Linked DNA regions of Sus scrofa. The protein of the gene in region 2 purifies or fractionates together with the protein of the main gene of each other region. This does not show direct contact. Links are inferred from orthologs where the notes say so. Each region holds a gene or a part of one and is shown on either strand. Other genes may lie near its edges. The genes, in order: HIPK2, DAXX, CBX5 and BAZ1B.

Region 1 (7,171 bases), on a different chromosome or scaffold from region 2:
ACACGGGGGTGGAGGGGGGGCAGCATTTGGGAAAGGAGCTGGGTCAGCTTGGGCAGAGGTTTTTGTTTTTTACTTTTTTTGCTGGACAGGTAAATAGCAGATTTCAGGCAGGCCCAGGATCTAGTTGTCAGATTGCAGAAGCGCAGGGAACGTGGGACGGACCCGCGGCTCAAGGTTCAGCCAGGGACCCCCGAGCCCATCTTCTCAGGTCTCCTCCCAGGCCACTGAGCACCTAGGAGAACACAGTGTGGATGGGGCCCGTGTCGCCAGAGCCCAACGTGGCCTTTTGGCCTGTGAAGAGATAAAGGCCCTGATTCTTCTTCAAACCTTGTTTTGTGGTGTATCTTTCTCGAGAGCCTTTTCCTAATTCCTGGATCATTTTCTTTTCTTTTCTTTTTTTTGGTCTGACAAAACCGGACATCGGGATGTCCCGCCTGTCTACTCAGATACTCACAGATAGAACAAAATAAACTTAAATAGTCAAGAGAAAACACAAAGATACCTGGAACACCATGGGCATTTAAAATCCCAACTAAAATACCAAAATGAGGATTATGAGAGTCATTACAATGCTAATAACCAAGACAATCCATACAAATCATATTCTCTTTATGAGCAGCATGGAACTTTCATTCCTGATCTGGAAGAAAGGGCAAGATGATGTCAGGCGAGCGCATCATCTCCAGCTGAGGCGACGAAATCATTCTCTTAAAAGGGAAGGCTGTGTTGTCTCTGCTGGCAAGAGATAAGATCTAGAAACCGGCTCGAAGGGAACCACACAGGGGGGCTCAGGATGCTACCCAATAAGGCAAAAATGCTGGCTCGTGGGCAGCGGAGACGTCTGTACCCGGGTCACCGGGCGAGGGGAGATCCGACGGGGCACTGCTGCCCTCTGGATGCCCAAAGTCCAGAACAGAGATGAGCCCCCCGGCGGGCTGGCTCTGGGAAGGCCCTGTCTAGCGCATCCTTCAAAGACTTTTCTCCCCCCGCCCCTCGCTCGGAGGGGCCGCTTTCCTGTTGTCTCAGAATGACAGCACGTCCTCGCGCCTGGATGATCTGGTATGGGTCTCGGCCCCTGCTCCCCCGAGGCGAGCGGAGCACCTTGTCCACCCGCTGGGTACCACGGGCTCGGCCCGGGGGTGCCCCTCCCGAGTGGGTGGTGGTGTCCTTCCTTCCTTCCGGCCTAAGCTGGTTTCAAGCTGGGGACCGATTGCTGTGTAGGCGAAGCAGAATTTACGGGAGGAGAGGGGACATTTCCAGAGTTACTTCATATTTCACAGCTAAGAGCTAAGGTAAGGGCTGGGTTTCGTTACTGAGTTAGGTCAGACATCGTGGTACAAAACACCTTTCACAGTAGATCCTTGAGGGGGCCTGTACAGGGAGGAGGGAAAGTGGGGGCCGCAGACTGAAACGGGAGTGATCTCTTTGCACCTTGGAAACTTGGCTTTGGGGTCAGTTAAGGACTCGGCAGCAAAAAACAAAAAAACCACTAGGACCACACTTTGAACATCCTATCTCTGACCAGATGGAGCCTCCCGACGTGCATGTGTTCAGGAATAATTTGCTGTAGGTAGAGCCCTCTCCACCCCACCCCCACCAGTGTGCAAAGTCTGACATTTCCAGAATGTATTGAAGGTGCAAAGAGGACAAAGGGCACATATCCTTGGAAAACGTTGACTGCCCGTCACCCTCCTAAGTGTCCTTCCAGCCTTTTGCTCATCAGGCCCCCGGAAACCAAGAGCCGAAGTGGGCCTTGGCAGGCCCGGGGAACTGGAGGACACATTCAGCAGCAAACACCGGTTCCTGGTTGTCCAGAGAGGGAAGGATCTGGCAAAACCGTGAGAGCAAAGCACAGCCGGTGGAACCAGAGGTGAGAGGGAGGCAGGCAGCGCTGAGAGAGCGAAGCAGAGGTGCGTCTGAGAACGTGGGGCTGGGCCCCAGGCCCCCTCACCACCCTGCAGGCAGCCACGGGAAGGGAGCCCTGGGCCTGGAGTCGGAAGGCGGGCTCCTGTCCTCTGCCCCTTCTGCATGAGGAAGGAGGCAGCTGCCTGGCAAGGCCAACGTTCCTGAAACAGAGATGGGCCCTCTAGGCCCGCACATGGCAGGGCTGGGCCCCTGTGGCAGAATGGGGTGGGGGTGCCGCGTGGGGAGTCTCTCCTGCGGCGTCTCCGAGGTCATCTAAAGCCATTACCACCGTCAGGGCCCCCCACCTCTCTCTCCAGATCCCGGGGCTCCTCCTGGCCCCTGCCAGCTTCCCGACACCCCTCTGCTAGCAAACAGCCCGGGAAAGACAACGGGGGTTCAGATAAAAGAGAAACTTAAAAAGCCAAAACCAAACCAAACCAAAAGAAGGAAAGGCCAGACCAGAGGAAAATGGTACAACAGCACAGAAGAAGGGCTGAGGTGGCGGGGCTCGCCTCGGCCGGCTTCGCGGAGGACCGCGGAAGTAAACCCTCACGCCGCGTCCGACGGTCGGTAAGGCACTAGGAGGGACAGATGTGAAACCAAGACAGCGAGAGCTGGCGGCCGGGCCGGGGCAGGAGGGCGCGCCACGTGCGCACACGCCCACGTCAGATCACGTTCTTGTTGTGCAATTGCACTGAGGCAAAGTCTATTGGTATCGTCGGGGGTGAACACAAAGGACGACACACGGGTGCAGGCTGCTACATCTCCGAGGGCTCGGCCGAGGCCTCGACCCTGCGCTAACGGGACGAGGGACGGAGTGGAAGAGAAAAGAAATCTTCGGAGAAGAAAACCGACCTTGGAGTTTGCAACACACACTATTAATGACATTGGCGGAATATCACTGCTTTAGGGATTTATCCAGAATGCTCAGAAAGAGACTGAAATGGAAACACTGGACCCTCTCCGGTCCTCCTCCCCCCGGCCGCCACCGCCGCCACCCCCCCAGTCCGTCCTGGCAGGTGAGCCAGAACCGGGCTTCGCCAACCCCAGGCCAGCCCCCGAATATGCCTCCTCAGGCCATGGCTGGACCTTTCCAGACGGCTGCTGACCCTTTAAAGAGTTCTGGAAAAATCCCTAATTCTTACGTTCACGCATTAAAAATCTATTGGATTTCCATATCAGGTGTCCCTGACAGCAAATTCGTAAGCGTCACTTGCTGCCATGTGAAAATAATCTTTGAGAAGTTCATCAAGTTCTTCAAAAGCTGAGGCCACCCCCCTCACTTCTGGAATCTTCCGTCGCTCTATTCTTCTCCTTTCCAGTTTGGTGCACAATGGGTTCGTGAGCTGTGGTGTTTTTTTTTTTTTTTTGTACTGACGTTTTCTTTTTTTTTCTTTTTTAAAATAAAAAGCATAGATTTCCCCCCCTCCTTAAATCCCTTCCTTCTTAAAATGTTCTCTTCTCCACGCTCAGTCCTCCCACTTCCTAGTTCAAGTTTCGTTTGCGTCCCGTCCCTGCCCCCTGCCCCCTGCCCAGCCCGGCCCGTTTGCATTGTTCATGTGCGGCGTCTTCAGTATAGAAGGACCAGCTCCCCCCTCGGTCCCTCCTCCTCTCCCTCCTCCCCTGCGGCCATCCCCCCTCCAGTGTTTAGATGTAAGGGTACTGGTTGACCTTGGCGGGGCTCAGTGGGTATCCAGTGTAGACGGTGGAGGCTGGAGAGGCGCTGATGTAGGTCTGGTGGGCAAACTGGGCTGGATACTGACTCGGGTGGATGGTGGGCGAGGGCAGGACCCGGGGGCCCATGCTCACGGGGACCTGGTGGACGATGCTGGCTGGGTAGGCAGTGTGCTGCACGGTGTGACGCGCGGAGCCTTGGGAAGCCACCAGGTGGGCCACGGTGCCGGTGGAGCCCAGGGCCGCGGGTGCCGTGTAGGTGTAGAGGTGGGGCTGGGTGGGGAGGTGGGCAGCGGCCAGGTGCGGGTGCACAGCGCCGTGGCTGGGGCTGTTGTGCGGGAAGGAGTATGGGGCCTGGGCCATCGTGGGAGTGACGTAGGCCTGCTGCCGTCGGTGGCTCCCGGCGCGGTCTGCGGTGATGTGCTGCTGAGCCTGGAGAAGGAGAGGCACCAGGAGAGGTTGTGCTGGGGGCTCGATGCGCTGGAGAGCGGGGGAGGAGGCGGGGGAGGAGGAAGCGGGGAGGGGAGGGAAGACGAGGAGGAAGGAGGAGGGACAGGAGAGGGAGGAGAAAGGGGAGAAGGAGGGAGATATGGAGAGGGCAGGAGGGAGAGGAGGGAGGTGGGGGAGGGGCAGGAGGGGGAGGAAAGAAAAGGAGGAGGAGGGAGTGGGGAGGAGGGGGAGGAGGGGAGATGGAGACGTGGGGGGTGGGGAAGAAAGAAGGGAGGAAGTGAAGGGGGAGGAGGGATGGGAGGAAGAGAGGAAGAGGAGAAGAGGGAGTAAGAAGGAGGGAGAAATGAGGAGAGAAGAGGAGGGAGAGGGAGGAGAAGGGAGGGAAAAGTGGAGAAAGGGAAGGGAGGGAGGAGGAAGGAGGGGAGGAGTGAAGGGGAGGAGGGGGGGACAGGCTGGGAAGGGGGAGGAGGGGGAGGGCGAGAAGGGGAGGAGGGAGGGGGGAGGAGGGAGCGAAGGAGGAGGGGGGAGAGTAACAGAAGACGCTCCCTCCTGGGCTGGGAGCGCACCAACCGGCCTGGGCTGGAGAAGGCAGGCCATGCCCAGCTGTTCCCAGGCTGGGAACAGACAGAGCCAGCAGCTACGGGAACGGGAGACACCCCACGGTCACCCAAGGCCACCTGGCCGCTGTGAAGTGTCAAAAGGAGCTCCTCTTGGAGAGCCTGCTGCTTCTCTCTCCCCGTGAAGCTCTGCTCCCTAAGTCGCAGGCTCTCAGAAACCTGGCTGTTTCAAGTCAGACCCACAAACGAGGCAACCCTCCCTCCGTCCCTCCCGCAGAGCCTAAGTCACGCTGACATGGACGGACAAGGCCTCGGGTTACAGCCCAGGGGCTGCTCCACCCAAACTGCCCCACATCTCAGCCCCGAGCTCTGAGGAATCCGGCCTCCAGTCCACCTTGCAGTGCAGCCCCGAGGGACCCTCTGCACACGGGCCCAGCAGCGCCCTTGTTGACACCCCACGACGCCCCGCCAGCCTCTGTCTTTTTCTGGGTTTGGGGTTCCGGGCAGGAGGAGCCCTCACAAGGACTCGGTGGGGCCTGCCTGCTCAAGACTGAGGCCCATCCCTGGTGTTCTGACCCGACTGGGTCGGGGCGGTACTTTATCCTTTGTCGGGTTCACGCAGCAAACTGCGGGCCTGTCTACTTTAAGCTTTGGCACCCTGTCGCTCAGGGCTTCCGAACAGCGGACAAGTCAGTTTGCTTTGGGCTGGCACTCAGTGAGTCGGGGTGCCACCTCCCCCAAGAAGATCCCAGCAGAACATGAGGGGGCGCTTGGGGCACCTCCTGCCACCACTGGAGGGGCCATGGCCGCGGGAGGCGGGCAGGGGTCCGCTCCGCAGCTGAGGGTGAGGGGCACACCCATGCTGGGCCGGCCACGGCGGCCTTACCTGGCTGAGGTTGAGAGGCTGCTGCTGCTGGAAGTGTGGCCCCGGCCGCTGCTGCCGGTAGGCGACGGCTCCCGACGAGCTCCCTGAAGAGTGACCGCTGGTGGAGGTCACGTTGCTGGAGGACTTGGACTTGTAGGAGGACGAGTGGTGACTGGTGTTGACTGTGTTGGGAAGGGCAAAGGGTCACAGGTCAGTCACAGGTCCTCAGCTGCCCAGAACCCCCTACCCTTCGGGGGACAGCCGTGGTCTCCCTAGAAGGCATTCCCAAGGCTGCTGGCCACCACTCCTGCGTCTCTCCGAGACCCAGGGCTGGCCTGGGGCTGCGGCTCCTTCCACTGGTTGGGAGCAAATTTCGCTGGACTTGAGAATGACTACCTGGTACTGACTTCCTGTTGTGGCTCAGCAGGTTACGAATCTGACTAGTATGCATGAGGACGCAGGTTCGATCCCTGGCCTCGCTCGGTGGATCAGGGATCTGGCGTTGCCGTGAGCTGTGGTGTAGGTCGCAGATGAGGCTCAGATCCCACGTTGCTGTGGCTGTGGTGTAGGCTGGCAGGTACAGATCTGACTGGACCCCTAGCCTGGGAACCTCCTTATGCTGCGGGCCTAAAAAGTTAAAAAAAAAAAAAAAAAGAAGAGTGAAGAATGAAGAATGACTACCCTGTGACGCTGAAAATCTGAAAATTGTAAGGGGAGTCAGGGAGGGAGCAGAGTGCTCGCAGCTCCTGTGTCTCGTCCAGGTGCAGCTGCGGGCATGTGCCCGGACACAGAGGTGCAGGCCCAGATGCAGCAGGATACAGATGACTGAGTGTCCAAAAAGGGGCCCCCCGAGTCTGGAGGAAAAACCACCGCAATAAAACAAACAGGACAAGGAACCATCTTAGTTCATTTCAGTGCCAGGTGATGTGTGAACACCAACTCCCCGCAGAGTGGAACTCGAGGCTCGAAGGCGCAAAGGCAGGGGACGGCACGCGTGGGCACAGGACTGGTGGAGTCAAGTGCTATGGCTCGCCTGCCTCTCAGTGCCTTTTTTTTTTTTTTTTTTTTTTTTTTTTTGTCTTTTTAGGGCCATACCCACGGCATATGGAAGCTCCCAGGCTAGGCGTTGAATCAGAGCTACAGCTGCCGGCCTACACCACAGCCACAGCAACTCAGGATCCGAGCCATGCCTGCAACTTACACCACAGCTCATGGCAACACCGGATCCTTAACCGGCTGAGCGAGGCCAGGGATCGAACCCATGTCCTCATGGATACTAGTCCGTTCGGAATCCACTGAGCTACAATGGGAACTCCTCCAAGGCTTTGATAAACATATTTCAAGTGTTTTAAGTAATGATACAATATACCACAGGAAAAGAATCACATCCTTGCAAATATTTAAAGAAGCGGGATGGATTTAGTTTTAGACAATGATGTAAGGGACATGGGAGCAGAAAAGCAAGGACCGCTGCTCTAAGCGGTCCTGCCTCCTGGGCGAGCTACTCTGTTTGCCTTACAGGTTCTTTGCTTCTCATCAGGATTTCTGCTCAAACATGTGCCTGAGAAAGAGCATTTCAGGGCGACTCCCCCGGCCCCCACTGGGCAGGCTGGCCCATGGCCCCGAGCTGCAAAGGCCCTGGAGACACCGCTGTGAGCTCGACCTCGGCCCCCAACTCCCAGGTGGCCCGCAGGGCAGCACCTGAATCGCCTGGGCCCTG
Region 2 (7,628 bases):
CTCCTGCCTCCATCCTCTGTCCCGAGCGCAGTGGAGCAGGGAGCGCGGGGGCAGCTAGTCGGAGTCCGAGAGCACGATGATCTCCTCGGGGTCGCACTGCGTGGCCACACTCATCTGCGGGGAGCGAGACGGTCAGCACGGCCCGGGGCGGAGGGGAGGGCTGCGGTGGGCGCGCCAGGAACCGAGTCGGGGGACAGCTTCCCCTCTCACCTTACAGGTACTGGGTCTGGAGGGCTGGGCCTGGGGGTTCTGGGCCAACCGGGCTGGACATGGGCTAGAGAGGGAGCTGGTCACCAGGCCGTGGCTGGGAGAGTCCACCCTGGTCGAGGAGTCAGCAACCGGAGCCACGGAGGCCAAGGGGGAAGGGGGGCTGGGCAGGGCCCGCGTCCTCTTCCCCTCCTTCTCTCGCACTGCCCTTGGCCTTGCCACGCAGCTGAGGACAGAAACGTATGGTGTGGAGGCTTAGGGCAGCCTGAGGCTGCGAGGCAGCGTCCACTTCTCCCAGCAGCCTGGGCTCCGCAACAGTGCCCTCAGAAAGCCCCCCGCAGGCCCTCCTTGGCTTCCCTCTTGCTCCTCCTTGTGCAGTTACCTGTTTCCTAATGGCCCTGTTTCTCTTGGCTTCTCCCTCCGAGATTTCTTGCAGGGGGGAATGCAGTCCCCCCAGGTGTGTGGAGAGACACCGCCATTGAAGGAAGTGGAGGTGACCATGGCTGCTCCGTTCTCCAGGACAGTGGTGAGGGGCTCCTCGGATGGCTTCCTGGAAGACGACACATCCCTCTCCTCAGGGGACGGGGTAGTATCCAGGGGCAAGGCTTCAATCTCTAGCTCAAAGAGCTGAGACGCAGGGCTCTCCTCCTCCAGGGGCAACTCCTCAAGACGCTCGCCACTGCTTTCAGCATCAATGCTGGAGGGGGCCGGGGGCTCTTCTGACAGTGAAGATGGCGACACCCCAAGTGCTTTGCTTCGCTGCTCCCCTGAAGACCTGCTGATCCCTTTGCCAGGCTCCATGTTCTTCTCAGTGGAGATCTGTAGTGGGGACATGGGGCTCTTATCTCCATCCTTATCTGGAAAAGAAAAGAGGAGAGGATAGAGTAAGAACTAGGGGAAGAGAAGTGCTGAGAGGATGGGAAGGATCTCAGATGATGGGGCTGGTGCCCAACAGTCGAGGGAGCTGACACACGAGAAGACTGTCTTCCTGACATACCTGCTTCCTCCTCCTCCTCCTCCTCCTCCTCTTCATCGTCCCCCTGACCTTCCTGCATCTGTTCCAGATCCTCCTCCTCTTCTTCGGAATCTGTGGCCTCCTCGTCTTCCTCCTCATCCTCCTCCTCTTCTTCCTCGTCCTCCTCCTCCTCCTCATCACTTTCCTCATCTTCCTCATCATCTGTCTCAGCCTTGGAAGTGGTCGAGCACTCCTGGGAGGCCATCCCACTAGGGCCCTTCGGGGGACAAAGGAGTTTCTCTAAGGAATCCCTTGCCCCCTTGAGGGACTGGTTCTTGCATCCCTTCTGCACACTCCGCCATCAGTCCCAAGGACTCCCTCCTGGCCAGTGCAGGGGAAGGACAGGGTCTCTCTCAAGGGTGTGGCCCTTCCATACCTCGCCAGAATCCAAGGAGGCTTTGGGGGGTTCTGCAGAGTGGGCAGAGGTGGCCTGGGGGAGCCGAGCCCTTCTCTTCTGTCTCTCGCCCTCCTCACTCTTGTCTTGCATCATTGCATATTTGGAGATGACCTCATCCAGTCGGCTCATAGCCAAGCTCCGGTTCTCCCGCAGGCGCCGGGCTAGGACAGGATCTGACAGGGCAGGATCGACACCTGCATGGGAAGACATAGGTCAGAGCACTCACCCAGAATCCTAGAAGGAGGGACTCCAGAGAGCTTCCTCCAGCATAGGCCAACACACCAAGGGACTGGGGAGACCCTGCTAAGGCCTACCTGGCCTGTAGTCGTCTGTGAGGTGACAGCCGAAGTTGTAGATGAGATCGAGGTGGCGACGTTCCTGCAACCTGATGCCCACATCTCGGAAGGCATCCTGAGCCATGAGCTGGAGCTGCTGTCGGGGGAGGCCAAGGCTGTGCCGAGCAGCTGCCTTCTCGACAGCCCGAAGTACGTCTCCATAGTCAGGGAAGGTATCAGGCCCTGGCTTGTTGATGAGCCGCTCGATGCGCCTGTTCACCTCCGGGTAGCGGGTGCCCCGGTAGGGGATGCGCTGCTCTATGACCCGGCCCGTCAGAGAAGAGCATTCTTTGAGCTCACACAGCCGCCCAAAGAGGCGGATCAGCTTACGCTTCAGTCTGGCCTCCTGCAGGTAAGTGGAGTCCGGGTCGTCCAGTTCTGAGAGATCCAGCTCCTTTTCCTGCAGCCGCCGGATCTCTGCCACATAGAGCGCAAGAAGCTGCTCCAAGCGCTGGATCTGCCGCCGGGAACCACGGGTCCTTGGGGCCTCAGAGGCAGTGGTCTCAGCATTTATGGGGTCCGAGGAGGGGCCTGTGGGGGGGTCATTCCCGGAGGGCTCACTAGAGGTGGTGGCAGCAGGGGCCAGGTTCATCTTCTTCTTGGCCGAGTTGGCCTTGAGAACAGTGCAGAGCTCGTTAATGTAGACATAGAGCTTGGCGGGCCGGCTCTGAGCCCGGGAAAGGACCCGAGAGAGGATGTTGTGGAACTCCGCCGAGGCCAAAAACAGTGAGTGGGCCCGCTGCTGCCGGCTAGAGAGGAACGGGACCACCTCAGGGTGGTCTGCTGTCTGCCTCCTACACAGTTCAAGGAACTGGAAGGTTCACGGGGAAAGGGACAAGGGATGGGTTGAGAGAAAGAAGGCGAGGTGGGGTTAGTGGGGAAGACAAGACAAGAGAGCCAGTCGGCCAGCCCCCTCCCTGGAGTACAAGAATCCTCTCCCCTAAAGCTCACCTCTTTAAACAGCTTCTCATTCTCCAACTTGTAGCATTTCTTGCCGCCCGAACTACTGCCTCCTCCAGCCCCATGGGGCTGGGAGGAGCCAGGGGCTTCTGCCCTGGGTGAGGCTGGAATGGGGGCTGCCCTGGGTGAGGCTGGGTTGGGGGGTGGGTGGGAGGGCCCTGGCTGAGCAGCTGCTTCATCTTCGTCATCATCATCCAGCACGATGATGCTGTTAGCGGTGGCCATGGGGGATCAAATCCCCCGGAGGGAGGAAGTGGTGGGGTTTTCGTGATTCCTGCTGGAAGGGGACGGGGCCTCAGAAAGAGCCCCTCCAGCAGAGCCCCATCCCTTCATCTCACACATTTTTGTCTTCTTGGTTTTCAAAAACACCCAGCCATGCCCAACAGTGTCCTCACTGCCTGTCTTCAGCAACCATTAGTACCGTGTTTTTCTGTCCCTTTACTACGAGAGCCCCAAACCCTCGGAAAACCTGAAGTCCCACCCCCAGCTCCACCCCTCACGTCGACATCCGGTCTTTCGGTTGCATTTCCCCACTATTTCTCATAGGTGGCAAGTTGATTCTTCTCAACCCCGGACCACCTCTCACACTGCACTCCAGATTTCCTCGACACCCCCTGGAACAGATACCACACCCTCGTTGGCACCACCTCCCCGTGTCCCCCTTCCGCTCTCCCACAGGTTCGCCCCGTCCTGTAGGATCACCCCAACTCCCAGCCTCTCCGAGGCGAGGGTTGGTCCTCCCCACATCCACTCCCCTTTCTCCTGCCAAGACCACCTCCCTACCCCGCCCTCCGGTGGGTCTCCTCCAGCCGGGGCGGCAGTCGGAGATAGCTCGGCTCCAGTCCCCTCTCTCTCACACCAACCCGAGCCTCCCCATTCTCTCCGTGTGACCTGTAAGCGACCGTGGGCCCCACACTGGTCTCTCCTGCTTGCTCTCACACTCTAGTCCTGAGGCCGGCCCTGCCCCCGGAGGAGCTTCCCGCCAAGTCCCCCTCCCCCAGTTCAGCCCCCGGCCCCCCCACACCCCTTCAGGGATAGTAAGGAAGGTACCTCAGCCTGCCCCTCAGACTCAACGCCCAGGACTCCCGAGTACCTCGACCTCGACATTCCCGCCCCGCCTTCGCCCCCCGCACCGCCCGGCCCCACCTCAGAAACGGTCTCTCGAGGCGACACTCGCCGCGGATCTCAGAACCTCGCATGGTTCCCTCCGCCTTCCTTCCCCCTCCCACCGCAGGCCCTACTCCGGACCGGAAGCGGCGGAGTTTCCGCCTACAGGCTCCTGGGTGCGGCCATGTTGCCGTACGGATCCCAGTCTCCCCAGTGGCCGGAAGTGACAGTAGGCCCGCCTCCTCGAGCACCTCCAGTGCCGCCCACATAGTCTGAGGCGCCTTTCTCCCTGACCTGCAGGGGGCGGATTTGCGCCCCTCCATCCCCCATTCGGGGCCTCTCAAGGTACATGCGGGCCGCCATTTTCCCGTACGGCGTTGGCTACGCCCCGAGTGGGGGCGCGCCGCCAGTGAAGCTCTTTTCACCCGGTGCTTCTGCGACTCGGCCAATCAGAAGCTTCCCGCAGCCGGCCAACCGCCAGCGCGTCGCGTGCGGGGAGGACAGAGCCACCTTCCCAAGGGGGGGGGGGGGGGTACGGAACAGAGCAGCAAAGGAATTGAGCCCTCCGAGGCTGCACAGGGATGCACGGAATGGGGGGAGCCTCTTGAGAGGAAAATAAAACCTTTTCCATCCGCGGCGCTATTGACAAGCCCTCTGGCGCCGATTTCCTACCTGCCAGGTACCAGTTTCCCTGGCTTAATCGACTGTACCTGCCATTCCCTTCTATGGGCCCGCTCTCCTTTTCGCTGTCCAGCTGCTACTTCTACCGACAGGTGCCTACTTCGCCCAATTGCGAAGTCCTAACACGGGATACAAATGAGCACCACGAGCTGTACAAATGTGTTTTATTATTATTGTTATTGTTGCTGGTTTGCTTTCCACTACAGAACTATTGGCCAACCAAGTAGGTAGAATCTAGGTGGTTCTACGACGTCTTTTCTGGAGGAGGTCCCCGAGGCGGAGGCGATGATGGCCGGGAGGCCGGGCTTTGTCCAGAAGCTCCAGGGCCTGAGGACGGGCGTTGTGAGGAGGAGGAGGCTCTGAGGAGAATCTGCAGATTGCCGCTGTATGGACTGTGAGACGAAATGAGGCTCGTAAAAGGCCTCGGAGTCTCGTCTTTTCTTCTGGAAGTGCTGATGAAAGAACAAAAAGAGAAGAAACCAACTTTGACGCCCGCCTCGCCTGGACCCCCACCTAGCCCAGCTTTAGGGAAGCTGGAGGGACTCACGGAAGCAAAGCTGGGTCCAAAGGTGAACTTCTGGGGAAACCAAAAAGTTAACACCGGTCCAGTCGCTGAGTTTCCCACCTCTTGGATCCCTGCATACTCCACAAATGTTGGGCATCTTGCCACTTTATTTTCTTGTTGCACATTTAAAGATAAATTTTATTAAAATATAGCAGAAGAGTTTCCGTAGTGGCTCAGTGGTTAACAGACCCCACTAGTCCCCATGAGGTTCAATCCCTGGCCCCGCTCAGTGGGTTAAGGATCCGGCGTTGCCGTGAGCGGTGGTGTAGGTCGCAGATGCCACTGGGATCTGGTGTTGCTATGGCTCTGGTGTAGGCTGGAAGCCGAAACTCCAATTAGGCCCCTAGGCTGGGAACCTCCTTAAGTCCGGGGTGCGGTCCTAAAAAAGCAAAAAAAAAAAAACAAAAAAAAAACCAAAACCTGAGGAAACGTCAGGTGACTGGCCCAAGGTCACGCTCACACAGCTTTCTCCTTTTTTTTTTTTTTCGGTCTTTTTGCCTTTTTTCTAGGGCCTCTCCTGCGGCATATGTAGGGTCCAGTCAGCTGTAGCCACCGGCCCATGCCAGAGCCACAGCACCACCGGATCCGAGCTGTGTCTGCGACCTACACCACAGCTCACGGCAATGCCGGGTCCTTAACCCACTGAGCAAGGCCAGGGATCGAACCTGCAACCTCATGGTTCCTAGTTGGACTCGTTAACCACTGCGCCACGACGGGAACTCCAGCTTTCTCCTTTTTTCATCTTTTTTTTTTTTTTTGATCTTTTGGCTTTTTAGGACCCCACAAGTGGTATATGGAAGTTCCTAGGCTAGGTGTCTAAGGTGTCTAATTGGAGCTGTAGCTGCAGGCTTGCACCACAGCCACACAGCAACGCCAGATCTGAGCCGCTTCTGCAACCTACACCACAGCTCACGGCAATGCCGGATCCTTAACCCACTGAGCAAGGCCAGGGACTGAACCCACAAACTCACGGTTCCTAGTCGGATTCGTTTCCGCTGCACCACAAAGGGAACCCCCCCAACTTTCTCCTTAAAAAAAAAAAAAAATGCAAGAATAGTTCTCAACCATGAAAGCTCCTGGGGATAATCTTACCTTGTCTTAAATAAAGAAGAGACATGTAGCCTGTTTCTTTCATCAATGTATCATAAATATCATTTGTCTCATTTTTTTATTTTGATTTTTGGCCTTGCCCGCAGCATGCATACATTCGAAGGGGCAAGGATCAAATCTGCACCACAGTATCGACCCAAGCCACAACAGTGACAATGCCAGATCCTTAAACCACTAAGCCTCCAGGCAGTTCCTGCTTATCTCATTTTAAATGTAATTCTTTTTTGTCTTTCTGTCTTTTCTAGGGCCGCACCTGTGGCATGTGGAGGTTCCCAGGCTAGGGGTCTAATCGGAGATGTAGCCGCCAGCCTACACCAGAGCCACAGCAACACGGAATCTGAGCAGAATCTGCAACCTACACCACAGCCCACGGCAACGCCAGATCCTTAACCCACTGAGCGAGGCCAGGGATCTAACCCGCAACCTCATGGTTGCTAGTCAGATTCGTTAACCACTGAGCCATGATGGGAACTCCTAAATGTAGTTTTTATTTTAACCATTATGAATATGTGTACAATCTTTATGCTATTTGATCAAGTCTGCTCTCATAATAATTGTAATGATAAGAATTCCTGTTGTGGCTCAGCGGTAAAAAACCCGACTAGTATCCATGAGGATGTGGGTTCAATCCCTGGTCTCACTCAGTGTGTTAAAGATCTGGCGTTGCCGTGAACTGTTGTGTAAGCTGGCAGCTACAGCTCTGATTCACCCCTAACTTGGGAACTTCTATATGCTGCAGGTGCAGCCCCAAAAAGACACACACACGACAAAATTGTAATGATAACCCAGAAGAAATTTTTCTAAAAACTAGTCTTGGAGTTCCCACTGTGGTGATGTGGGTTAAGGATCTGACTGCAGTGGCTCAGGTAGATGCGGAGGCACAGTTTGGATCCTACGAACCCCAGCTGGGCAGCAGTGGGTTAAAGGATCCCCTGTTGCCACAGCTGCAGTGTAGGCCTGCAGCTGCAGCTTGGATTCCATTCCTGGCCTGGGAACTACCAATATGCTGCAGGCATGGCCAAAAATTAAACAATAAATAAAAGATTAGACAACTAGAGTCTTATGGTCGCAAGAAAGAAAAATATTTTTCACCTCAATAAATATATACATAGACAAACAAAATTGTGATAGATTGGTCAATAAAAGCATAAAATTATCTGTGGGGAAGTGGCATGGTAATAGGAGTTCCAGGAGAAAAAAGAATGCTGGAAGAAGAAAGAAAAGGAAAGATTCTCAATTGTATTTTTTTTT
Region 3 (7,171 bases), on a different chromosome or scaffold from region 2:
TTTCTTCTCCATCTTGACTTCAAAGGGAAAAGGATCCTAACAGTCCCACATTTTCAAGGAGAAATTTAAGTAAATGAATCGAGTTAGTAAACATCATTCGACTACCACATCAGAAGACTTAAGCTAGAATAGATGGGAAACCTAGCAGGCTTAACCAAAAGGCTGAAAATTAAACTACTATATAAATTCTGCTCCCATAATTTTTATGTGTGGGTATGAGCATGTGAGCAAAGACACAATCAAACCTACATTCAGCCCTATTGATTAAGCATAAATTGCTCAATCCACTTTTTGGATCATCTGGATCATTGAAAGGTCCTAACTCTCCTCATCATGTGGCCTTTTATTTATTTATTTTTTGGCTTTTGCTCTTTAGGGCCACACCCGAGGCATATGGAAGTTCCCAGGCTAGGGGTCCAATCGGAGCTACAGCTGCCAGCCTACGCCACAGCCACGGTATCCAGGCAATGCAGTACACGAGCCGCGTCTGTGACCTACACCATGGCTCACGGCAACACCGGATCCTCAACCCACTGAGCGAGGCCAGGGATCAAACCCTCAACCTCTTGGTTACTAGTCAGATTCGTTTCTGCCCAGCCAGTAGGGGAATTCCTGCGTGACCTTTTAAACACTCATCCTTTTGGTCAGAACTGTGGATTAGAACAGTAAGAAAGTAGAAATTTCGGTCAGCAACAGTCCTTATAAAACAGAGTGAGGACGAATGTAAAATCTAGTCACTAAAATAAAATGTAGGCATTAAATGCAAATTTCAATTACAATATGAAAAAGAAATCCAGTAAGTTCCTTAACCAGAAATCCAAATCAAGAAAGAAAAAATTTTTAAATTAAAATCCCACCGAGATGTGAGCAAAGACAGCTAACCTCTTTCCTAGGAAACAGAGATGCTGAATTCATAGAGGTAAGCATTATGGATGAGAAGGGGGGTGGGGAGGGAAACACATCGCTAAGAGCAGCTACCCAAATTTGGACTGTGGTGGAAAAAGCTAGTTAACATGTGAATGTAAATCATAAGTACCACATATGGCTGAGTGGGAAAAGCAGTCAATACAGCTCCTTATGCAGACAGAGTATAGTGATTCTTCAAATACAGACTTCTGGGTAATTTACCAACAAAATTTCGATCAGATAAAATATTAAACCTCTTGACTATACAACTTCTAAGGTAATTAGCTTCCTTAGTGGCACTGTAGCATGAACTCTCTATTTAGAGACCAAACTTAAATTACAAGCCCAGAACACTTGGAAATAGAGAGGTAGTGAGGGCCACACTATAAATCACTCTGTCTTTAAGAAACCAAATTGAGGGGAAGTAACTATACTTTCCTCTAAGATCCATTCCCTCTACCGGATGAAATAATTTGTGCTTTGGCCAGTATTATTCTTAATGCTTTTTGTTGAGATTACTCTTCTCTTTTAGACATTATTGAGTGGTCTTGGTCCTCAGTGATGGCAGAAAGCCTCACTCAATTCCTATTCCATGGCCACAGGCTCGTGGTCTGATGGTAAATGATTCACAACTGTGTAAATTAAATGGTTAGGTCATGTTTATATGTTTCCTACCTCAAATCTACACATTAGTATGTGTGCTAATATATTATAATTTGGCTTAATACTAAAGCTTTCAAATGTCTTAAATCCATTCTGAACTATAATTCCCATTTAATACTGACAGTTGGTATCAGCTAAAAATTTAGCTCCCTGACGATCAAAATTCTTAATCAAAATTACTCAGTCTTCTCTCCCTATCTTCCGTACAAATTCAAGTCACTGGCAAAGAAACACAATTGCAGAGTGAGGCCCAATCTCTCTCACCATTTCATTAGGAACATTAAATCGCCACAGGAATCTGTCGCCCCAATGATCTTTTCTGGTTCCAATCCTCTCTCAAAGCCCCGAGCGATATCATTGCTCTGCTATAAATAGAAGATGAAGAAAGGTTACAGCTTGGAGATAACAGTCAAAAAACCTTCCCGTTTCTCAGCTCAACAAAGCACAACCTAAGTTAATATCACTAGATATCACTTTTGTCACCAATTCATAAAATTCTTAGGATCTAAATACAATACTGCATCAGCCAGTGACAGAGATATTTCTACAGGAAGTTGCAGCTGTCCTTCCAGTATTCCTTCAAAGGATTTGGAGTGGCCCCTAAAACTATTTAATATCCTTTAAAATATTCTGGAGTCATCATATAGAAAATCCTCTATCCCCTCATTTAATCTTGTTATTATAAATGGACTACTGCTAAATTGTTCCTTCTGGGTTGATAAACAAGTCCACAGGGGTTACCTGAAAGAAACCCTTTTTCATTTTATAAACTTCAAATATAAAACCTCTTAATCTTTATTTTTTTAGACTTTTAGTTCACCTAACACTGACCAATATTTTTAATACTTCTTTTCCCAGAGTCATCTATGCTTATGGAAGAACAGAGATAAGGATAATTCAAGGCATTATCATAAAACAGAAAATTTCTTTTCAGAGCTCACATACTGTAACACCCACACATTTGGGGAAGAGGCCCTGGTCTATGTCTATCCCTTCCTGAAGGGGATAGATCAATTGCATTAGAGAGCAGAACTGGGGACTTTCCTGGTAGTCTAGTGGTTAGGACGCACGCTTTCACTGCTGCAGCCCAGGTTCAATCTCTGGTCTGGGAATTGAGATCCCACATTAAGCTGCTGCTTGCTGCAGCCAAAAAAAGCCCCCCGAAAAAAACAAAAATAAAAAAAGAGAGCAGAACTAGACTGATAATTCTGTAAGGAATTATTCAGACTTGGTCAAACGATAATCACGCAGTCCAGACAAGGAGCATTAGAGTCTGATTCAGGTGTGCTGCCACTTGTGAGAGCAAAATGGTGAAATTTTATACAAACCAGGTAATTAAAAAAAACCTTTTTATGGAAGATAATGCAAGCTTATTTAGTGTCAATACAAAAAAAGATTTAGAAAGACTGCCCAATTGAACTAAATCTCTGATATCTGATTTTCATAATAAAATCTCTTTGCTCTGATATTCGCCTTGCTTTCTTCTGAGATACAAAGCATTCAGCGTCCAGGTGGTCCCCAAAGATACCAGAATCCAACATTGGGAAGGAAATTCCACGCATGGATCAGGGGACATACAGACTTAAAAACATAGCCTCTTTTGGGGGTGCTTAAAAGGAGGAGGTTCCCAGATGTGCACACAGCTGCTCACAGCTGGAATGCTGGCGCACGAACTGAGTCGTAAATCATAGCTGGCGGCTGAAAACAGTTTGCCACATAGGGAGGGAAGGAAAGAAAAATGTTCGAGATGCTGAAAAGGAGCCGAGGCGAGGAAAATGCTAAAATCATCACACAGGCAGTAATCTTAAATCAGGCATAATGCCGACTAACAAATTTCTTCTGCAGTGGTCTAAAGAAAGAAACGCAATCCCCTCCTGCACCCTTAAAACACACAATCACCCATCTTCCCAGCTGCCTACCTGACAGCCGCCAGCACTGCTGAGAATGCTGTCAAGGGGCCCCAGATGAACATTACAATGTAAGGGACATGTGGGGGTGGTTTTCAAGGTCAGCAGCATCAGAACCTGGCCTAGGAATGAAACTCTCTACACTGGCCAGTGGCTCAAAGTCAGATTGCTCATTTTTAAAAGGAGAGAAACTGTAAGTTGAGGAAATACAAACTATATGTCACAAATGGCTATACAGGTCTTATGCTGTGTTGTTTTTCAGTCTCTTTACTTAGCTAGAAAATGAATCAAATGACAAAACCAAAATACAAAGGACTAATAAAAAAAAAGAAAGAATCAAATCTTAGCTCCTTAGAGAAGAGAAGGCATTCTCAAATTATTTATCAGTACACTATATCAAATGTTATACACACCTCATCAGAACAGGGCAGTTTTAAAAATAAGATTGTAAAAAATAAAATTAATCATGGAAACAAATAAGGAGACAGACAAAAACCTAGAATCCACTTTCACTGGGAGCCTCCAATCTTTCACTCTTATTTCCATTCTTTTTGGAAAGCTGGTCTCCCATTTTCTCTCCTCTGGAGGTCAGGAATCACTTGTGCAAGTCTCTATAAAACACTGATGACAATGTCCAATCCACGGAAATTTGAACTTAATTAGTCTGGGGTGTTATCTTGGGCAGTGGAGTTTTTTGAAGCATTGTCCCCTAACCTCCTGTGGTGATTCTAATGTGCAGCCAGGGCTCAGAACTGATGCTCTAGAAACATGGGTATCCAAGGAAAACGAAGATAAATAGGGATGTTTATGGCAGTGACACTACAAGATTCAGAAGCAGACTTATGCTTTTATTTTATTAAACTTTAAGGGTATGATACATCTTTCACCACAAAAGGCTTCACAGCCTTGAAATAAATGAAAGCAGTAGAAGCTGGGGAGGTGGGTTATCTGTATATGTGTGTACAGATGGAAAAGATATAAATGAAAAAAGAAGAGAGGCAATAATAGTGCTTATGGCTAGTTACTTGAGAGCTAAAGATCAGAAGGATCAAAGCAACTGAATTAAACCAAAATTTCATAAACATACTTTCCAAACTGAACAATAAAAACATCCAAAAGGAAAATGAAAACTAATTTCTTATTTAATGTAAAAACATAGTAGGATCAGAAGGGAATATACATGCCACTGAACTGTACACTTCAAAATGGTAAACTATATGTTCTGTGGATTTCACCTTAATTTTAAAAGACAGAGAATTATAAAGGGTTGAAAATAAGTGTTAATTTTGGCACGAAAGAAAAAAGTGAAATGGTAAGACATTTTAAAGTTCCTTTCTATCCTTACAAAATTCACCAAAGACTCTAAGATAACTCTGCCTGTATTCATGAATAAGGCAGAGTATGAGATGTTTTCCAAGGATTTCATTTTCCCACCTTAACCCCAATTTAGAGGACTCATATTATGTTCCTCACTCAGTCAGGAGGGGGCGCTGTAGTCAATCAACATATCTCCCTGGACGCTCTATTGTTCAACAATTTACCTTGTAGCCATCCAGAGAAGGGAAACAACCAAAATAATGCCCTTTTTGGGGGGAAGGGGGAGCCACAGTGGCAGAAGAAATAGGTTGTTGAGGAAAAAGGAAAATAAAGCTTACCTCTCTCTTTTTTTTGGATTTGATATCATCAGCACTGTTGGAGAAATTGGATTTCCTCTTGTTACTTTCTGACTTCTCCCTCGGTTTGTTATTTTCACCCTCCTTCATCTTCTTATACTTTTTCATGAACTCAGAAATTAGCTCAGGGCAATCCAAATTTTTCTCAGGTTCCCAAGTATTGTGCTCCCTGGGCAAGAAGAATGGAGAAAAAAAGCAAAGAAATAAGGGGGGGGGAATCCAATGCCTTATTTAAAGAAGACAAGTAGGCAAGAAAAGAAGCGCTATTCTTTTTCTTTTTTCTTTTGTTTTTATAGGGCTGCACCTGCGGCATACGGAGGTTCCCAGGCTAGGGGGTTAAATCAAGAGTTGTAGCTGCTGGCCTGTGCCACAGCAGAATCCAAGCTGCGTCTGTGACCTACACCACAGATCAGGGCAACGCCAGATCCTTAACCCACTGAGGCCAGGGATGGCACCCATGTCCTCATGGATACTAGGTGGGTTTGTTATCACTGGGCCACAAAGGGAACTCCAGAAGCTCTTTTTTATTTTTTTGCTTTTTAGGGCTGCACCCATGGCACAGGGAGGTTCCCAGGCTAGGGGTCAAATTGGAGCTGCAGTTGCCAGCCTGCACCACAGCCACAGCAGCTCGGGATCTGAGCCACGTTTGCAACCTACACCATAGCTCTCGGCAACACCGATTCCTTAACCCACTGAACAAGGCCAGGGATCGAACCTGCATCCTCATGGATACTAGTCAGATTCATTTCTGCTGAGCTACAACGGGAACTCCAATAAATGAATTTTATGGTATATAAACTATGTCTCAATAAAGCTATTAAAAACTCAAACATTGGGAGTTCCCATTGTGGCTCAGCAGGTTAAGAACCGGACACAGTGTTCATGAGCATGCAGGTTCAATCCCTGGCCTCGCTCAGTGGGTTAAGGATATGGCGTTGCTGCAAGCTGTGGTGCAGGTTGCGGATGTGGCTCCAATTTGACCCCTAGCCTAGGAACTTCTATATGCTGCAGGTGCAGCCATAAAAAGGAAAAACAAAAACAAAAACTCAAATATGAGTTCTGCTCTGTAAGTGGCAAAATAATGTGATTTCATACATATAATCGTCTATGCAAATCCTGGAGAGGAAAATCTAATACGTTGTCCAGTTTATATTATCCTAAATATGTGACTTATATTTTGAAGAAATGTCAACAAATTATTAGAAGATCGAAAATACTTAGAAAAAAAGCAATATGGGCTTAAAGCATTACAATGTAGGCATACCATTAGAAGGAAAAGATTCAAAACTGGAATTTTGACTGCATTAGTTCAAAGCTCTGGATTCAAGCCTATCGTCTCTAGGTAGTCCAAATACATTTTAGACTGATAAGCACAAAAAAATACAAACTCAATAATTATATCTAACTAAACTTGGATCAAGGGAATTGTACTATGAGGAAAACAGAACTAGCTATGTTAAGACACTTTGTAAAGATATCATAGAAGCAGTTTCTATAATCCCTTCAATGACTTAAGAATTTTTTTTTTCACATTTATGCACTATATATTTTAGTTATTTTATTGGGTTTTTTTGTCTCTTTAGGGCCACACTTGTGGCATATGGAGGTTCCCAGGCTAGGGGTCTAATTGGAGCTATAGCTGTCGGCCTATGCCAGAGCCACAGCAACGCTAGATCTGAGCCATGTGTGTGACCTACACCTCAGCTCACAGCAATGCCAGATCCTTAACCCACTGAGTGAGGCCAGGGATTGAACCCACAACCTCATGGTTCCTAGTCAGATTCATTTCTGTTGCGCCACGATGGGAACACCTGGTTTTGTTTTTTTAAATAAGGTATCTTTAGATAGAAATGGTTCGAACAAACGCCATAAAAACTCAACTCAAATAAGAAGCAGAATAGAAAAATCTGAGATATTTACTCTAGACTTCAACTTTCTGCAAAAAGAGCTTCAGAATGAGACAAAATTTATTTCCAAACTGGAAAAGCCTCTCCCTCATAGCTCTTCTTTCGGTAAAAAAAA
Region 4 (7,816 bases), on a different chromosome or scaffold from region 2:
TCTCCGTCCACTGCCACGTGGCTTGCAAATGCCTCCCAGGAAAAGGACTGCATATCCCTCCCAACCATATTGGGCTTGGCCACTTGACTTGCTCCGACCAATAGATGCCATAGACACCACCTCCAGGAAGAAGCCTAAAAAGTCATCATGGGTTCCTCCAGATCTTTCTGTCTCTAGAAAAGGACACTGCAGACAGGGACTACTCCTTCAACCTGAGTCTTGGAATAAGAAAAATGTGCCTTTTTTTTTTCCCCACTCAGTTTCCTTTTTTTCAAATTTGGCCATTAGAAAAACTTTAATTACATGTGGCTCACATATTTCTATTGGACAGCACTATAAACCCACTGTTTACATCTAGGAATGAATGTCCTCTAATACAAAATTTTAAACTGACTAGTCATTCAAATTAGATTAATTTCAAAGTCAAAAACTGAAATTTCTACAACCGCTTACACTACATATTTTTAAGTTTATGTAAATCTGTCCTGGTTATTGCTTTGACTTATGGTAAGAGAAAAGCTACAGAAAAACTGAAAATGAAAGGAGAAAAAAAAGCCCACTAGAAGGACACTGAGTTAGCTGCCTCTAAATCCTATTTCAGATTTTAGGTTACCAATATAAGTCACTCACTCTCAAATAACCGCTCAGAGCAAATGCCAACTGAGCTTTTTATGTCCCAACGATTGCTGCACTTATAATTGCAGACAAAATGTCAAACCAATTCTCCAAAGGTTGTGTAAGCTATAAATGATAAGATAATTTCAAATCCTAGACTATCTCATCATGCATCTACTTTTTCAAGAGTTCAAGAACTCTCTCCTTACCACAATATGCTGCTTCTTTGTTTTCTTTAGCCTTTTAAGGATTGTTTCTTTCAATAAAGTACTTGATAGCCTGAAAGGAAGTGGCCCAGAAAAGTATGGAGGTTAAATATGCATAACTATAACCCTAAGAGTTCTAAATGGATGACAAACACCAACTCAAGGTCTGCTTTTTATCCTATTTTCTCTCTTTGGACTAGTGTGTCATTAAGTTAAAAATAACTCTAAAGCGGAATAACTTGTTACTTTAAAGAAATTAAATTATACAAGTCAACAGACAATCTTGCTCAGTATTCCAACTGTCCAATAAAATCCTGTCTTGCCTCAGCTCTTAAAAAGCTCTAGTCGGGTTTTTCTTAGGCAAATCAAGTTATTCTCGCCTAGAGCCAGAATAGCTGTATATTCTAACAGCCACTCTTTATTACACCACCTGAAAATTCTCTTACCTTGACGCTAAACTAGTTTCTATGCTTTAAAAACTAAAATAGTTAAAACAATACAACAACAACCACAAATTAATCTACAGCAGACTACACATAGGTTCAGTTCCTCCTTAAAATCCATCAACTTAAATACAGTCAGTGTGGAGTTCTACTCTCAAATAATTACATCAAGAAGTGAATCTGGTAAAGTTAACTTTTCCAGCTAAGATATGGTGTCCTGGAGTTCCCGCTGTGGTGCAGTGGGTTAAGAATTCAGCTGCAGCGGCTTGGGTCACTTCAGAGGTGTGGTTTGGATGGTTTGGATCCTTCACTCAGTGCAGTGGGTTAAGGACCCAAGGATCTGGCATTGCTGCAGCTGTGGTTCAGGTCACAGCTGTGGCTCGAATTCAAACCCTGACCCAGGAACTTCCATATGCCTTGAATGCAGCCATAAAGTAAAAAACAAAAACAAAAAAAGATCTGGTGTCTTGCCTGTAGTACTACTCTAGGAAGCAATGTACCATAGATTGAGCTACTGTACAATAAACATAATTATCAATATATAAATCTAGTTATCAAATATGTGCATCATTCACAACTACCACTGTAAGTTTAGTGACGATGTACAATAATACCTGCAAGAACACAATGCTCAGAGCTGTAAGTCAATAAAATATCATACAAATTTGCTACAGAATATATATACAATCAAGAGGAAGGTATTAGGAGAAAATTAGAGTATGAAATCCTATTAAAAACATAATTATAACTATAAATTAAGTAATAGAAATACTTCAAATGCAGCAGTTACCTAACCGCATACTTGTTCTCCTCTATGAAATCCCTAATAGCCTAATAAAGAAATATGTCAATCTGGCAACCACATAGCACAACTGCTTTAAAAACCATCCTCAAAGTGCTTCCACTAGAAGAAATTCCAAAGGGAGCAATTTCCCCCCAAATATGTAACAGTTTAAGAACTCCTTTGTAAAAAGGGTTCAGAATACTGGCATGGGAAATTTTAAAGATGAGGAATTTTTATTAAATACCTACCACTTAAAAAGTTTCACCTTTCAGTTTTCAACTGTCATCATTTAAAGAAATTCTTCATACACAGTTCAACGATTTCAGTAAATGATATGAAAAAGCCTAGGCTGCCAGTTCGAAATTAGCTATCTCGTCATTTTTTACAGAGCTCAGTGCCTATTACAGATTTAGAATTTGTCTCATAGAGTAGAGATTAATTTGCAGATTCTTATACTCCACTAGAACCAGGCCTGATAAATTAATAACCAATAACATTAGTATGAATAACCATCAGGTGCTCAAAAGCTGACATTTGAAAAGGATATGGCATAGTCCCAGAAGGAATTTTTTACTCCACTGATGTTTTGGAATGTTATTAAAAAAAAAAAAAGGTAGATCACTTTTAAAACAGGGTTGTATTTAGTAGAGCTAGAGCACTCCTCCAAAACAATCTAAAGTCCTAACAGAACAAGAAAAAGAACCAGACTATTCCTCCTACGACCCCCTTAAATGCGCTTTCTCTTATACCACAAACTGACACAAACAATGGACAAAGATTATTAAAAGTGAAGGAATAACATTTCATGTTGCTTCCTTGATTTACTTACAAGGATGAGGTACCGGCACTGGATTCTACTCCTGACTCTCATCATTCAGTGTATGACCTTAACAAGTCGGCCTCAACTGTCTGGGCCCACCTGGCCTACTCTGGCAGGAGAACCCACCATCTCCAAGATCCATTTCAGCTCTGAGATGCTACAGTTACATTTCAAGAGCCTTCCTAAAGCACAGACTCACTTTCCAAGTCCCTCTGTACTAAACACCTAACATCCACAATCTGCACTCACACAAGAGCGAGGTTACCCCGTAAAGCATCATATTAAAGAGAAGATCAAAGAGAAATGAAATCAAATGATATGGCTCACACTTGGCGCTTCCTCCTATACCGAGGCAAGCAAACTACTAAGAAATCAAGTTCTTCCAAAGGGAAGGGGGAGATAAAACTAAATAATACATTAGCCTTCACTCTTGAAGCTTTCTATTCACTAAAGAAAGCTTGATTCAGAAATCTTGTTTACACTTAAGCTTCATAAAGGATTTAGCTGGCATCCATTAAAAAAAAGTAAGAGTTGTACGACCTTCAACTACAAGACAAATAAAGCTTGTGAAAGAAATCTTAAGCAATGATTAGAAAGATGCTTCGTACTTAAAACATCAGCCTCGCGTTCCTCAAGCACAGCATAAAAACTTTAAGCGTGTCTTGGTATTTTTTTAAATATTGTTAGAAGACAAATACCTATCTGCTGTACACCGTCAAAATTCCTTATCTGTGCATACCCAGGGAAGAAAAGCATCCGCTCCTCCAAGGTAACTTTTTCCTGCTTTTTCTCTAAGTCTGGAAAATCACCAGTAAGTCCATCACCACCCTAAAGTCCACACGGGGGGAGCAAAACACAAATGCCCCTGCAGAGATTGACGTAGAACGCATCACCAAGATCACGAAGCTGCGCGAGTACAATCCCCAAAACTTAAGAAAAAAAGCAGCAGCAAAGGAAACCCAGTTTCTCCTGCTAATTAGGGCCTAAAACCAAACCCCTGGGAAATTGGTTGGAGGATCGCTCACCGACAGCGAGGCCCGTAGACAAAATGCGGGGTCCGGGAAAGGATGGAGGGCACAGGGCTCCAGAGCGGCCTGAACCCGGCCGGCCAGCCGGCCCTCCCGCCCCCGGAACTGCAGGCTCCGGGCTCAAGCTCCGGGTGCAGGCCCGCCGACGCCGGGCGCGCTGACAGCTGCCACTGGCCCGGGGCTGCGCGGCCCACCCCGCCCCACCCCACCCCGCGGGCGGCCTGGCCAGCGCGGCTGGAAAAGGATACTCCCGGGTGCGGAAGGCCTCCTGAGTGTGCGCGATGGTGAACAGCGGCTCTTCGCCTGGAAGCGGCTTCACCAGCGGGAAGGGCTTGCGGCCCAGGAGCGGCGCCATGGCGGCGGCGTCTGCGGAGGGGAAGACGTAGGCTCTCGGCGAGCCTGCGGCGCAACACTAGGCCCCGCGGCCGGGAGCAAGCGCCAGGCTCCCGGGGTGGGGTGGGGGAGGGGAGGGGTGAGAGGGCGGCGCGAACTCGGCTCCTTCAGGGCCAGCGCCGCCGCGCGAGGGCCATGGAACGGGACGCAAAGGCACAGAACTCCCACGCACACTGCCGCACCGCCCCGAAGCCTCCGGCCAACCTTCGCTACGGGTCCCAGCGTTCAGCAGTCACGACGCGTCCTCAGCTGCACCGGAGGAAATTATTGAAAAATGGCGGGAGATTCCCCTCCTCCCCCCCGCCCGGCCAGCGCACACACTAACTTGCTCCCCTGTGGCGCCGGTGGCGAATGCTCCAATAGGCTGAGAGCTGGTCAGCTCCCAGAGTCTATTGGCTCAGAGGAGCTGCCGCTCGGCCCTTGGGTCCCGCCCCCTTCCCGGGCTGCCTAGTTGGGTTGCAGCGCACTAGAGGGCAGTATGAAGAGGTGAAAGGTCAAGTTATGTAAGCGCCGGTGACAGAAGTGCGGGCCTCCAGCGGCAGGGTTGAAAGTGGGGGATAGCGGGGCACCGAAAGGCCAGGAATTCAAACAGGTCAGGCCAGAGAAGCCCTCTAACATATACAGACACTGCGCCATCTGTCACTGAAGGCGACACCGACATCCGGGCACCACTGTCCGTGCGGTGCGCCGGAGGGGGGAGGGGGAGCGCGCGGCCAGGGGCTTTGTCTTCCCACTCGTGCTCCGCCCCCTTCTTAAAGGCGCCGCTCTCAGCCACGCCCGGGGATGCGCGGGTGGGGCGGATGGGAGGAGGGGTTGGCGGGAAGTAACCCCGAGACTTTGCCCCGCAAAGGTTCGACTGAGGCATAACCTGAGGCCCAACCCTGCTCACCCCAAAGTTAACTTCTGGATGAGAGCGTGGTTGAGATGTGGATATTAATACGATGTTTCTAGTGGCTTGCTGGAAAGGATCGTATCAAAGCTTCTTTAGAAAAATACATTAAAGGATATGGCTATTAAAAATACACTCATTCATTCAAATAGTCTTTACTAGCGCCTGCCGGGTTCAGGACCCTGCGTTGGGTACCATAGGGAAAAAAATAAGACAGAGACTTCCTGAAAAAATAAGACACAAATAATCACAGTTCTCTGTAATGAGTGCTGTACAAAGTGCGCAGTAAGAAAACAGCGGTAACTACACCTAGAGAGTGAGAACAGTTAAGCTGCTTCTCCAAGCAGACTACTCCCACTTAGTTCAAAATCTGTTAGGTTACCCATACAATCAGAAACATAATTATTAATCATTCTTTGCTATTAAATTATCTCCCTTGATTCAGAAACCTTCACTGGCCCCAGAATGTACCTTCCCTGGTTGCTAGTTGTCCCTAAATGGAGGCATGCCGGTGCCAGACCCTTTTCTCCTTTTCTTCTCACCTTGAAAGTGAGGACACTCCCCAGTAAAAAGTAAGTTCTAGGTCAGACGCCTCCTCTGAAGACCTAGCAGAGAAGAGTGCTCATTCTCCTTCAGGAGCCATTTCTTTTAAGAGGATTAGGAGAAACTTTGTCAGAGGATGTGGCATTTGAGTTGATTGTAAAGGGATAAGTAGCACTTCACTAGGCAGAAAAATGAGAAACAAACATCCTAGGCAGAGGGAGCAGCAGGGCGGACTTGGTAAATTGAGGACAATGTGTCTCAAACATAGGGATTCTTTTTTTTTTTTTTTTTTGGCTGCATCCATGGCATTCAGAAATCCCCAGGCCAGGGATCGAATTTGAGCCACGGCAGTTGACAGCACTGAATCCTTAACCAATAGGCCACCGGGGAACTCCTCAGACATATGGATTTGAGGCAGAAAGTATCAAGTCAAGAGAGTGGCAAAGGAAGTCATCATCCCAGCCATAGCCTGTGAGGACTCAACTGAAGTGACTGCTTAGAAGAGAATTGCAGGCGTTCCCGTTGTGGCACAGCAGAAATGAATCCAACGAGGAACCATGAGGTTTTGGGTTCAATCCCTGGCCTCGCTCAGTGGGTTAAGGATCCCATGTTGCCGTGAGCTGTGTCATAGGTCACAGACACAGCTTGGATCCCAAGTTGCTGTGGATGTGGTGTAGGCCAGCAGCTACAGCTCTCGTTGGACCCCTAGCCTGGGAACCTCCATATGCCGCAGGTGTGGCCCTAAAAAGACAAAAAAAAAAAAAGAATTGCAGTGGTTTGTGGCAGTGATGGCAAGGGACTCAAATGTTGAACCACATCAGTACAGACAGATGCCAGACTTGAGGGGCGTAGGCAAGGTGTAGACACCACCTTTAGCCAAGTGATCCAGCTTGGCATCACTGATAGTGGGACAAGCTGACAATTTCTGCCTTGTGATGTCAGGTAATGAGAAGTATACATCACCTCCGCAGTATTCTAACCAAAAACACTCAACCTGAAACCCTTAAAAGAAAATAGACAAATTCAGGTTGTGAGGCATTCTGCAAACAACTGCCTGTACCCTTCAAAAATGTAAATGACATGAAAGATCCCTCTCCACCCACCTCGCAAATAAAGGTTCTAAAAGGAGACTAGAGAAATGCAACATGTGACCTGAGCTTAGATCCTGGTGGGGAGGGAGGGACTACTATTAAGTACATTATTGGAGCAGTTGGGGAAATTTTTTTTTTCTTGTCTTTTTTTTTTTTTTCTTCTTTTTGCCTTTTCTAGGGCCACACCCACAGCACATGGAGATTCCCAGGCTAGAGGTCAAATTGGAGCTGTAGCTGCCGGCCTACAACACAGCTGCAGCAACACCAGATCCTAGCCATGTCTGCGACCTACACCACAGCTCACAGCAACAGCCGATCCTGAACCCCCTGAGCGAGGCCAAGGATCAAACCCACAATCTCATGGTTCCTAGTCAGATTCGTTTCCACTGTGCCATGAGGGAAACCCCGGGGGAATTTGAATATGTTCACTTTAAGTAATATTATTGCGTCACTGTTAAATTTCTTGGGTATGATAATGATACTCTGGTCATGTTGGGGAATATCCTTGTTCTTAGGAGAGGCAAACTTAAATATTTAGGGCTAAAGGGCCAGAGTAACAGAACCTTTTTTTTTTTCTTCAGAACCTATTTTTAAATAATTAAGCAAAAAAAAAAAAAATGTGTTGAGCTATCGATCTAATGTGGCAAAATGTTATTAACTGGTGAATCTAGGTAAAGGATATAGCTAGATTCATTAGTCCACTCAGCTATTGTTTGAACTTCCTGTGGTTTTGAAAATTTTCAAAGTAAAAAGTTGGAGAAAAAGGAAACCCAGTTCCCTGGCTATTCCCTGCACATTCTCCCAGGCTTCACGAACCTGCCCTGACTAGTCTTTCCTCATGTGCAGACACAATTTCCAAGGCCCAGCCTTAAGTGCCACCACTTCCCTAAACCTTCTGTGATCTCAAAGCCTCCAAGATTCTTCTCTGGACCCCACCCATCACATCCCCCAGCACACACCTGCTCTCTCCACCTCACCAGACTGGAAGCCACTGAATAGCATGT

The links.
Region 1: the proteins of DAXX (region 2) and HIPK2 purify together in Homo sapiens (affinity purification with western blotting; 3 studies listed by BioGRID). This does not show direct contact. The link is inferred for Sus scrofa from reciprocal best matches to the Homo sapiens genes DAXX and HIPK2.
Region 3: the proteins of DAXX (region 2) and CBX5 purify together in Homo sapiens (affinity purification with mass spectrometry; 3 studies listed by BioGRID and IntAct, with this or other methods). This does not show direct contact. The link is inferred for Sus scrofa from reciprocal best matches to the Homo sapiens genes DAXX and CBX5.
Region 4: the proteins of DAXX (region 2) and BAZ1B purify together in Homo sapiens (co-immunoprecipitation; 3 studies listed by BioGRID and IntAct, with this or other methods). This does not show direct contact. The link is inferred for Sus scrofa from reciprocal best matches to the Homo sapiens genes DAXX and BAZ1B.

What each region holds. Positions count from the first base shown.
Region 1 is NC_010460.4:10,131,172-10,138,342, reverse strand, and holds part of HIPK2 (homeodomain-interacting protein kinase 2), read right to left. Parts: intron 5,634-7,171; coding exon 5,473-5,633; intron 4,012-5,472; coding exon 3,553-4,011; 3' UTR 1-3,552.
Region 2 is NC_010449.5:29,676,953-29,684,580, forward strand, and holds the start of DAXX (death domain-associated protein 6), read right to left. Parts: upstream 4,194-7,628; 5' UTR 4,061-4,193; intron 3,990-4,060; exon of another isoform or gene 3,965-3,989; intron 3,529-3,964; exon of another isoform or gene 3,192-3,528; 5' UTR 3,140-3,191; coding exon 2,906-3,139; intron 2,766-2,905; coding exon 1,934-2,765; intron 1,814-1,933; coding exon 1,599-1,813; intron 1,440-1,598; coding exon 1,205-1,439; intron 1,065-1,204; coding exon 590-1,064; intron 434-589; coding exon 211-433; intron 115-210; coding exon 55-114; 3' UTR 1-54. UniProt on the Homo sapiens protein: Transcription corepressor known to repress transcriptional potential of several sumoylated transcription factors. Down-regulates basal and activated transcription.
Region 3 is NC_010447.5:19,454,654-19,461,824, forward strand, and holds part of CBX5 (chromobox protein homolog 5), read right to left. Parts: intron 5,319-7,171; coding exon 5,132-5,318; intron 1,935-5,131; coding exon 1,834-1,934; intron 1-1,833. UniProt on the Homo sapiens protein: Component of heterochromatin that recognizes and binds histone H3 tails methylated at 'Lys-9' (H3K9me), leading to epigenetic repression. In contrast, it is excluded from chromatin when 'Tyr-41' of histone H3 is phosphorylated (H3Y41ph).
Region 4 is NC_010445.4:10,839,287-10,847,102, forward strand, and holds the start of BAZ1B (tyrosine-protein kinase BAZ1B), read right to left. Parts: upstream 4,633-7,816; 5' UTR 4,494-4,632; exon of another isoform or gene 4,263-4,493; 5' UTR 4,252-4,262; coding exon 4,145-4,251; intron 1-4,144. UniProt on the Homo sapiens protein: Atypical tyrosine-protein kinase that plays a central role in chromatin remodeling and acts as a transcription regulator. Involved in DNA damage response by phosphorylating 'Tyr-142' of histone H2AX (H2AXY142ph).